Linked DNA regions of Sus scrofa. The protein of the gene in region 1 interacts with the protein of each later gene in a pairwise test. Links are inferred from orthologs where the notes say so. Each region holds a gene or a part of one and is shown on either strand. Other genes may lie near its edges.

What was found. The genes of interacting proteins can lie anywhere in the genome.
Region 2: the proteins of GABARAPL2 (region 1) and GIMAP6 interact in a two-hybrid assay, tested with the Homo sapiens proteins (2 studies listed by BioGRID). The two-hybrid records come from large-scale screens. The link is inferred for Sus scrofa from reciprocal best matches to the Homo sapiens genes GABARAPL2 and GIMAP6.
Region 3: the proteins of GABARAPL2 (region 1) and TBC1D9B interact in binary tests that used the Homo sapiens proteins (3 or more experiments, as listed by UniProt). The link is inferred for Sus scrofa from reciprocal best matches to the Homo sapiens genes GABARAPL2 and TBC1D9B.

The regions. Positions count from the first base shown.
Region 1 is NC_010448.4:12,130,172-12,134,197, forward strand, and holds the start of GABARAPL2 (gamma-aminobutyric acid receptor-associated protein-like 2), read right to left. Parts: upstream 2,816-4,026; 5' UTR 2,688-2,815; coding exon 2,654-2,687; intron 2,316-2,653; coding exon 2,260-2,315; intron 884-2,259; coding exon 711-883; intron 1-710. UniProt on the Homo sapiens protein: Ubiquitin-like modifier involved in intra-Golgi traffic. Modulates intra-Golgi transport through coupling between NSF activity and SNAREs activation. It first stimulates the ATPase activity of NSF which in turn stimulates the association with GOSR1.
Region 2 is NC_010460.4:6,417,771-6,421,282, reverse strand, and holds the end of GIMAP6 (GTPase IMAP family member 6), read right to left. Parts: intron 2,041-3,512; coding exon 1,424-2,040; 3' UTR 518-1,423; downstream 1-517.
Region 3 is NC_010444.4:78,723,879-78,726,908, reverse strand, and holds the end of TBC1D9B (TBC1 domain family member 9B), read right to left. Parts: intron 2,664-3,030; coding exon 1,977-2,663; 3' UTR 518-1,976; downstream 1-517. UniProt on the Homo sapiens protein: May act as a GTPase-activating protein for Rab family protein(s).

The DNA of each region.
Region 1 (4,026 bases):
CCGAAAATTTTTCCTCTTGCCACAGTGGACTAAAGCTGGGCTGTCAACTACCTACAAGAAGGGAATTGTAAAGGCTCTGCCTAGATTCAGGCCCCAGGTTATCCCAAAGATTGCTTCCAGGCAGCACAACAGCAAGAGCAAAGGGGGGGTTCCTCTTACAGTCAGAGTAAGTGGTACCAAGGGAGGTGAAAGGCTGTAAAGAGACCTCAGAGCCCTGTGCTGGCCGGCAGCCATTCCCATGTACTTGAGGATCAGGCCGCTGCTCTCAGTGCACTCTCACCACGGCCAGAGCTGAGCCTGGAGAGCGAGCAAGCAGGCAGGGTGGTTGATTGAAACTGAGCCTCAGCAGGGCCCACAAGCTCCTGGGGAAGAACTTATTTCATGGATCATTTGGAGAAAACCTCATTTCAGGCTTCAGTTCTAAAAATGGCTAAAGCCAAAATAAGTCCTAACTGTTTTAAAGGATTCTTGGGCGCCTGAGGCTGAATCTCATCTTTTGTTTGTTTGTTTGTTTGTTTGAAGTCCAGGCCTTACTCTATTGTCTTAACCCAAAGTATACACCCATCTACTGCAACTCTTCCTTGAACTCCTGAGGTCAGGGAACACAAAATCCTTATTTCCAGTCAAGACCCCTAAGAGCTTTCAGTCCTCCAAAGTTTTGAGTTCTGCAAGCAACCAAGCAGATGGCCAACACAGTAAACACCTCTCACCTGGACTGTGGGACTGTCTTATCCACAAACAGGAAGATTGCCTTTTCAGAAGGAAGCTGGATCCTTTTCCTGATAATCCACATGAACTGAGCCACAGTGATGTCAGATGGAACCAGGTATTTCCGTTTGTCAATGTCAACAATCTGAGAGCCTGAGACTTTTTCCACGATCACCTGCAAAAGCAGAGAAAGGTCGGGACTGGATTTCTAGACTGAGGCTCTGGCCCAGCATTACTGGAGAGCTGATGAACAATGTGTGGTCAGGGAGGTGGGTGGGAAACTGTGAAACATGAGAAAATACGTTCGACTTAAAAAAACCACACACTTAAGAATTGATATATATGTGTTACGGGGAAAGGTAAGTGCTTTTCTGTGGTCAATTACTTTCTTTCTCATCCCTGATCTCAGCATGCATGAAATAAACACAGCCCTCACAAAAAAGCTTTGCAACATCTTGTCTGGGCAGACTGGAGACTATCTGGTGAGAGCTTCCTCTACAGCCTGTTACTTCAGGACCCCAAAGTGAACCCACACTACAGGGGAATAAGATCCCAAGGAACACTGGAAATGAGAATGGACGGACTAATGGGATGGACTGGCAATCCCAACCAGCCAAGAACCAAGCTCTTCATTTGGCCTGTTGCTTCTCTCTGAACTACGTTTCAAATTTACCCCTCTTGCTCTCTCCCCAGAGGAACTGTTTACAAGCCATGAGCTACAATAACAGACCCGGATGTCCTTTAAAAACCAATCAGGGAGTTTCCATCGTGGCACAGTGGAAACAACCCGACTAGGAACAACGAGGTTTCAGGTTCGATCCCTGGCCTTGCTCAGCAGGTCAAGGATCCAGCGTTGCCATGAGTTGTGGTGTAGGTCACAGTCACGGCTCAGATCTGGAGTTGCTGTGACTGTGGTGTAGGCCAGCAGCAACAGCTCTGATTGGACCCCTAGCCTGGGAACCTCCATATGCCATGGGCGCAGCACTAAAAAGACAAAAAACAAAAAGGACTAAAGAAACTATGTGCCCTAACACGGAAGAAATATAGGATACGTTTTATTGATTACAAGGAAGGCACTGGACGGGGCTCCTCAGATTTTTTTTGGTCAGGAAAGGATGACAGGGTCAGGGTGAGAAAAGGGAAGGAGAAGTCAGGTAAAGCCGGAGGCTCAAAGTTAAAGATGAATGTCCTAAGGCTAAAGTATCCCTTCCAAAACCAAAGTGAAAGACTCCCTCCACCACTATTCCCCAAAGTGGCTGTGACCTGTTGCCCTGTCCTAGAACATCGTTTCTTACATAATTGGCGAGGGAGCCCTGAGGCTGCAGACAGCTCGCTGGCCTAGTTCCGGAGATTCAGCACTGAGGCATCCTGAACAGCACCAACTCAAGCCCCTCAAGCCGCCGCCCGAGGGTCCCTAAGCCGTCAGGCCCCGTCAACTACTCTAACCGGACTGGAATCTAAACTTATCAACTGCTGAATGGCCAGGGACCCTATCATGGGTCCAAGACGGCAGGGGTGACAGCGAGGTGAGGGGGCGGGGAGTTCACTCACCGGAACCCGGTCGGGATATTTCGCTCGGATCTTCGCAGATTCCACGCATCTGTGTTCTATGAGAAAAACACACCCGGCTGACGGTCGCGCCGGCCCACCGGCCTCCGGGTCCCTCGCCCCTCCTCCACCCCACCCCACCCCCGTGACCTGTGCACGCCCCCGGCCCTCGTTCGGGTGTCCCAGCGACCTCGGTCCTCGTTCCCCTGGCTCTGGCGGGGCCCGCGGAGGGCGGCGAGGAATCCATAGTTAGCCGCCCGGGGTGCTGGGGCCTCGGCGACCAGAGCTCAGAGGGCGGCATCCGCCCCACCCGGCCCAGCCTAGGGCGGCCCGAGTGGGGGAGGGGGCCCACCCGCCGCCCCAGCCCCCACGGGCAGGCCAAACGCCGAGCGCTTACCCAGCGAGTGGTCCTCCTTGAACATCCACTTCATGGCGACAGCGGGGAAAGGACGCAGCCGGCTCTCGGAGCCGCGGAGCTCAGCGCACCAACCACAACAACAACGACGGCGGCGGCGGCGGCGGTGACTACACGGCAGGCGGGACTTCCGGCCGCTGGAGCCTAGCAACCGGCCGGGGGCGGGGCTTCCGGCGCCGCTTCTCAGGGCATCGGGCCAGGAGGCGTGGGGCAAGGAAGGAGTGGGTACCGCGAGAGGCCGCGGGAGGAGTTGCCGTGGTGACGTTGACGATTGGGGTGTCTGTAAGGGAAGTTGATGACTGGGAAGGGGATATTCAGGAATTGGTAACAAGAGCGGGGTTTCGGTGGACGTTGGTAACAGGAAGGGATGTGTGGAGGTCTGGCTGATACGACAGGGCTCTTGGGAGTGTTAGAGAAGTCCGACCGGGGCGTTGGTGACAAGAGGGGAATTTTAGAATATCAATGACTGAAGAGGGGTCTTTGGTGGCTGCTGATGGCAGGGGGTCTGTTTAGGGCATTGACAGTCTGAGGGGTATTGTGTAGAGTGGTAACGGGTTGGGCTAAATTGAGAGGTTTTTTGTTTATTTTTTTGGCCACGCCCACGGCATGCGGAAGTTCCCAGCCAAGGCCAGGGATCCCACCTGAGCCACCGCAGCGACAGCGCCGGATCCCTAACCCCTAGGCCACCAGGAAATTCCCAGGTTGGGGGCTCAATCTGGAGTGTATGACTAGTTTGAGGAAACTGTATGGGGAGGGATACTGATGACAACCCCGGGGGGTTCATTATTGGGGACAGCCATAACAGGTTGCATTGGACCTGGAAATGGAGTTTAAACAAATCCCATTTCCTTGCTTTATTCACGAATAGTGTCTGAATAAACATTTAAGAAAAGGTATCATAAATATGCATTTGAGGGGCATAACATCACGCTGATCACAAAGAAACCCCTTAATCTTAACTGGTGGAGTAGTCAGAGGTGACAGACTCAGAAAATTCCTCTGACAGCTAGGCATGAAGCGGGTTTCTTCAGCACTCAGCTTTGGGGTTCAACAGTTACAGCCTGGGTTGTGTGAGTGTCTCCTGCCTGAGCGTCCGCCTTCAGGTTCTCCAGGAACGTCATTCCTTTCTTCTTCCAAGAGTCATGGGACGGTCTGCCCTGGGTCATCATCTGTTTATGAGCTGGTGCATATCTGACAAGATATTCACTTAATTGGGCACATGATCCTCACCACATGCTTGTGAGTCTGATGCATCCAAAAGGCCTGCATGTGTGAACATCGTCATTCACAATTTCCTCAGTTGAAATTCCTTATGGATGTTGTGGAATCTAGCTTCATTCTAAAAGTATTTTTGT
Region 2 (3,512 bases), on another chromosome or scaffold:
CTTTCTAGAATGAATGAAAAGGCTGCTCCTTCCACCCTCCCCTGTTTCTACTTGCTTTCTTTCTTTTTCATTTTTTAAAGTTTTATTGAGGTAGGGAGTTCCCATTGTGGTGCAGCAAAAATGAATGCAACTAGTATCCATGAGGATGCAGTTTGATCCCTGGCCTCACTCAGGGGGTTAAGGATCTGGCATTGCCATGAGCTGTGGTGTAGGCTGCAGATGCAGCTCAGATCCCAAATTGCTGTGGCTGTGGTGTAGGCCGGCAGCTACAGCTTCAATTCTACTCCTAGGCTGGGAACTTCCATATGCGGTGGGTATAGCCCTCAAGAAAAGCAGTTTCTTTTGCAGCGAAAGAAAGAAAGAAAGAAAGAAAGAAAGAAAGAAAGAAAGAAAGAAAGAAAGAAAGAAAGAAAGAAAGAAAGAAGGAAGGAAGGAAGGAAGGAAGGAAGGAAGGAAGGAAGGAAGGAAGGAAGGAAGGAAAGGGAAAGGAAGGAAGGAAAGAAAAAAACAAAATAAATAAATAAAAACGTTTTATTGAAGTATAGTTGATCTGTAATGTTGTGATAATTTCTGCTGTACAATGAAGTGATTCAGTTATCCATGCACACAAATCCATTCTTTTTCAGATTCTTTCCCCACATAGATGATCACAGAATTTTGGGTAGAGTTCCCTGTGCTTTACAGCAGGTTCCCATTGGCCAGTGAGTCCATCTACCGCAGTGTACACAAGCCCAAACTCCCAGTCCATCCTTCCCCCCTCCACCTGTCCGCTCTGGTAACCATAAGTTTGTTTCAAACTGTCCTTCCCCACATGTCACAGAACCACTGCTGCGTTCAGACCCACCACACCCAGCACGTACCTGAAACGTCACCGTGCCTGCTTCCTTTATGGGCGAGGACACAGCCCAGGAGATGCAGAGCTGCCTGGTCGACATCCCACACTGATTTGCTACCTCGGCTTTTCACCAGTGAGCCCAATGGCCCGGATGCTGCGGGGGTTACATGGGAGAATGAGGCACAGGCCTGCCCTCAGGAAGCTTTTGCTCTACGTGTGTTCTACTAGAGGCCTGGAAAGCCTGAGGATGGCGAGGCACAGAGGAGGGAGGGTGTTCTGGAAGAGGGGATGATGGGCCTGGGAACTCCGGAGCCTGGCATGGGCAGTGGCCCGTGAGCTGGCGAGAGCAGGTGAGGGCTTGGAAGTGGGACTCAGTTGGAGGGAGGCTGGTGGGAAGCACTGAAAGCCAGCGCATCTCAAATGGGTGCCTCTTAGGAGCTGTGTGTGAGCTCCCTCAAGTCTCCTGGATCTGCAGAGTGTCTACAGCCAGGACTCCTGGCTGAGCCCTGCCTCGCAGCCCCACCCCTGGTGGAGCTGCCCCTCGCCCGCTTGCTGGAGCAGCACGTTCCACGGGGAGTAATGGCAAGCCTAGTTGCTGTAATAATGGCCCTCGTTTTCCCACAGGATGCTTTCGATTTGCTGCATGAGCTCCTCCAGCTGGGCTTCCTGCTCCGCCCCCTCCACCTTGTTGTTGAAGCCGCAGTGGCGCCGCTCACAGATCACGTCCAGCTGGGCCAGCTCCCGGTTGTCCGTCTCTCGCAGGTACTCTTCCAGGGAGCCGCCCCCCAGGTCTTCCTTCCGTGTGAACACCAGGATGGTGTGGGCCAGGACGCCCACCCCAAACACCTCCTGGAGGCGCCTGACCACCTCTTGATCCTCCTGCGTGAAGCGGCCCAGCTGTGTCACCAGGAGGACGGCGTGGGGCCCGGGGAAGGAGAAGGCAATGGCTCGGCTGAAGCCCTGGGCGGCCACGCCCGGCGCCGCCCGAGGGGACAGGATGTCGGGGGTGTCTATGACCTCGAGCTCCCTCCCAGCCCACACCCGACACCCCCGCTGGAAGTCCTGGGTCACCGGTCTGGAACTGAGCTTGCACTTGAACAGCTTCCGGCCGAGGATGCTGTTTCCTGTTGCGCTTTTCCCACTTCCGGGTTTTCCCACCAGCAGGAGCCTCAGCTTCCGCGGGGTCCGTTCATCCGCCCTCAGACCTGGAAGCATCAAGAGAAGCGGGGGGCGGAGTTAGAGCCCGTCCACCGGCTTCAGCCTCACCAGGAAGAGAGGGCCCTGGTGGGGCAAGAGAGACGAAGACCGCGTCTGCACCTGAGACCTGCCCTGGGTTCCCATTCTTTTTTCCTGCTGAATCGTTTTTCTCATCATGGCAGAACCTACTTAACATAACATGTACAATTTTAACCATGCAATCCACATGGTTGTGCCCTCACCACGATGCATCTCAAGAATTTTTCATCTTCCCAAGTTGAAACCCTGCCCCCGTGAAACACTAACTCCCCATTCCTCCCTCCCCCGAACAGCTCACAACCCCTCTTCTACTGTCTGTGTCTTTGGGTTTGACCATTCTTGGGACCTCATATAAGTGGCATCAGGTCATATTTCTCCCTTTGCGGCTGGCTTCCTTCACTTAGCATAATATTTTCAATATTTGCATGTTGGATCTTGAAGCAGGTCGGGTGTCAGAATTTCCTTTCTTTTTAAAGCTGAATGGTATTGCATTGTAGGTATGGACCACACTGTGCTGTTTCACACAGATCTGGACATTTGGGTTGCTGTTGTGAATAGCGCTCCTGTGACCCTTGGTGCCCATATGTTCAATGTCTGTCTCAATTCCCGGAAGTGAGATTGCTGGGTCGTGCAGTCGAACACACCAACTTAAGTTTCGGTTTTGAAACTTCGTCTCAGGATCACCTGTTCTTACCAGTATGGGAATCAGCCCATCATGAGATGAACCCTGAGCTTCCCTGGGGACCCCTTCCCAGGAAGAGTGGTGAGAGTGAAGGGACGCAGCCTCTCCCTAATGTGAACGACTGCATCACATGACCTTCAGTTTTCCCAACAGGGAGTGTCATGAGGGGAGAGCCTTTTCAGCCAGACACCCAGCTCCACAGCACAAAAGCACACTGGGGTCACATCTTTTTTTTTTTTATGGCCACACCCCATGACATATGGAAGTTCCTGGGCCAGGGATCAAATCTGAGTCCTAGTGGCGAATTCTGCCACAGCTGATGCAACACTGGATCCTTAACCCACAGCACTGGGCTGGGGATCGAACTCACACCTCCACCGCAACCCCAGCCGCTGCCATCAGACTCTTAATCCACTGCACCACAGTTGGAACTCCGCGGGGGGGGGTCACATTCTTAAGCTACACCCTTGAGGTTTGGGATGGACAGCCTCACCCAGCAAAAGATCAGAACCATCAGCTGAGAGAAGATCTGACCAAGCCGCTCGTCCTCAGCAACCCGAGATCCAGATTTTTAGCCAGGACCAGGGCTGGAGGGCAGGAAGGGAATTCCCTTCTCCTGGCTGCCTTGCAGGTCCCAGGACCCAGAGCGCCTAGAGATGTGTCAGATCCTGGCTGGTTTCTGAGTCTGTGGCACACTGAAGACTCTGATGTGCCCCAGTGACAGAGCCCTTGGCCTCCTGGAGGCAGGGCCAGCACAGA
Region 3 (3,030 bases), on another chromosome or scaffold:
GTCTGCAACCTACACCACAGCTCACGGCAACGCCGGATCGTTAACCCACTGAGCAAGGGCAGGGACCGAACCCGCAACCTCATGGTTCCTAGTCGGATTCGTTAACCACTGCGCCACGACGGGAACTCCTGTACATTCTTTTTATCACATAAAAAGGCCAGGGTCCTTTTTCATATTCTATTTAATTTCTTTGGCGTATTCTCAAATTTATACTTTGACAGGGTATGTAAAACATCCAAATTCCAAGTTATTTAAATCTTTTTAATTGATTACAGTCGATTTGACTTTGAATTGCCAAATGTGTGGAATTCTTAAATATCTTTACTTAATTTCATTATGGCCGAGAACAGTCTTTCTGGCAATAAATCCTCTGAAATTAATTTATTACAAAGCATGTAGTCAGTTTGTGTAAACATTAGAGAGGAAATTACATGACTGACTTTCTGTTGTTAAGAAAACAGTTGTTCGGTTTCCCTGATGTTGTTTTGCTTCATTTATTGAGAAATAACTCAGCAGCTGTGAACCAGGTAAAATCATGGAGATTTTTATTTTTTAATTTTTTTTGGCTGCACCTGCAGCATGTGTAACTTCCCAGGCTAGGGATTGAACCCGCACCACAGCAGTGACCCGAGCTTCTGCAGTGACAACGCCACATCCTTAACCTGCTGTGCCACAGAAAACTCCATGGAGATTGTTATTTTAAGAACCATCCATAAAAACTAAAGAGAAAATAGATTAGTGGTTGCCGGGAGCTGGGGGAGGGTACACAGATTGGCAGCAAATGGGCAGGAGAGGTCTTTCTGGGGTATGGAAATATTCTAAAGTTGAACTGCGGTGATGGTTGCACAACTCTGTAGGTTTACTAAAAATCATTGAACTGTAACCTAAAACAAGCAAATTTTATGGTAATGCAATGTAAGTTTTGTCTCAATAAAGCTATCAAATTTAAAAAAAGCAAATAGCCACAGAGCTGTATCTTTCAGGAGAAATAAGAACAACCCTGTGTTGGGGGAAAATACTGGATACAGATGATCAGCTCCTGCTGCAAAGCTGGGGGCTCAGGTGGTGCCTGTGTCCCTGCAGTCTGCTTCCTGAACCCAAGGACCCGAGCACACACCTTTTTCGGGTGGACTCAGGCTGTTCACACCTGCAGAGCTCGGGGCCTCCTCTGCTGGCAGAGGTCTGTGCAGACTCTGCCCAGCCTGCATCAGCAGCTTCCACCTGCCCATCTTCCCTGGGGGTCTTAAACTCCCTGTGGGGACTAAGTGTCTGGAAACTCTGGAACATGGCCTGGACCCCATACCAGCCTGGGGAAAAGCCAGGAGGCAGTGGTCAAGGGCCACATTAATTCTCTCTACACGATGTGGTTTTTAGATCTTTCAGGGATTTATTAAGGCCTTAAGCACAGTGTGATTTTTAGTGACTCAAATGAATACAAGGAAATACATCAGGACCTGAGGGATATGCTTTTAAGGTTAACGGTGAGGATGATGAGCTGAAAGAGAATTTAGACTAACGCCTGCGCAGGAGGCACCCACCCTGGTGCAGCAGATGCTTTCTGCCTGTGTCCCCCAGCCAGGAGCTCCGGCTCAGGGGCTCCGGGAGGGCATCTCCAAGTGCCCACCACTTTGGTGCCCAATGGACATGTGTTCACCCACCTCCCCACCCACCTGGTGCCAAGTGGCAGGAGGGCCTCCAGAGCACACAGCTGCAGGAAAAGAGGTGGAGGACAGGGTGTGGCCTGGCCACAGCGCAGGGCAAGTGAGGGCAGATCAGACAGCCCCTGACACTACACAGGGTCCAGCAGGCCCAAGGCAGGACGAGGGGCTGGGGAGTCTCTGCCCGGGCCCCGAGTGCGGTTGTTCAGCCTTTTTTCCATTTACAACTCACGGCTTCTGGGGAGAGCTGGAGGGATGTGTCCTTAAGGAGCAAATGGAAAGGGAGGCGGAGAGGCCCGCCCCCAGGCCCTGGAGCCCTCAGCCCAAAGCTGCAGACTGCTCATGGTCACTGGAGGTGCTAAACTGTCTCTCCACTTTCTTTTGGTCCTTGATCTTGAGTCCAATGTCTACCTTCTTCTCAAGGAAGTTCACCAGCACAGACTCCGTCAGGATGGAGGCCAGGATCTGCTCGAAGGAGATGCTCCAGTCTGTGTCCACGGTGCCCCCACAGTGGGGGGTGGTCACGGGGCTGCGGGCCTCCCCGCCCACCAGCACTGTGTCGTCAGCCAGGTCCTCACACTGCAGGGAGCCCGTGCTGACCACCGAGTAGGAGGACATGGACAGGTCATCTTTGGTTTCATCGTCCGACAGAGGCTGGGAGGGGGAGCCCTGGCCCTCACCGCCGCCCCCTTCGCCCACCACCTGGCTCTCCTGCGGGGCTTTCCCAGGGTGGGTGTCTCCACCCGCTTTGGCCTGGGGGTCCCCTGCAGCAGGCGGCTGAAGCTCCCGGGCCGGGTTCTGAGGGAGGTCTGGGGCTGGCAGCTCGTCCTCCTCAGGGGCGATGTCCCTGGGCTTCCTGCCTGGCCGTGCGGAAAACCTCTTCCCCACCTCCCCGATGCGGAGCAGCAGGCTGGCCACCGTGGCGATGGCGTGGTACAAGTCCTGCTCCATGGGGTCTTCACTGAACATGTTGTAAAGTGTCTTGCACAGCTCAATGAACTGCTCCTTTTTTAGGGGAAAAACAGAAAAAGGGCAGGGAGGTAGTAAAAGATGGGGTCCGGCTGCCCCAAGACAGCCAGACTCACAACACTGGCCATTCTGGCTGGGGTGCGGGTGTCATCTCGCTAGCTGTCCCCACACACCTGTGTCTTCACAGGCCCATTTCACAGATCAGGACACTGCGGCGCAGAGAGGAAAAGGGCTTTCTTTTCCAGCTGCCTTTCAGTACAGAAAGATTTTGAGTCTCTCTGTGTCTAGGTCCATTCTGTTAGCAGAAAAAAGACCTACTTCTATCCTAACTTCCCAAGCCCAGTGACTACAAGGACGTCTTGACTGGGTTAGAATCACTGTGAGTTTTTTATATCTTCAACTC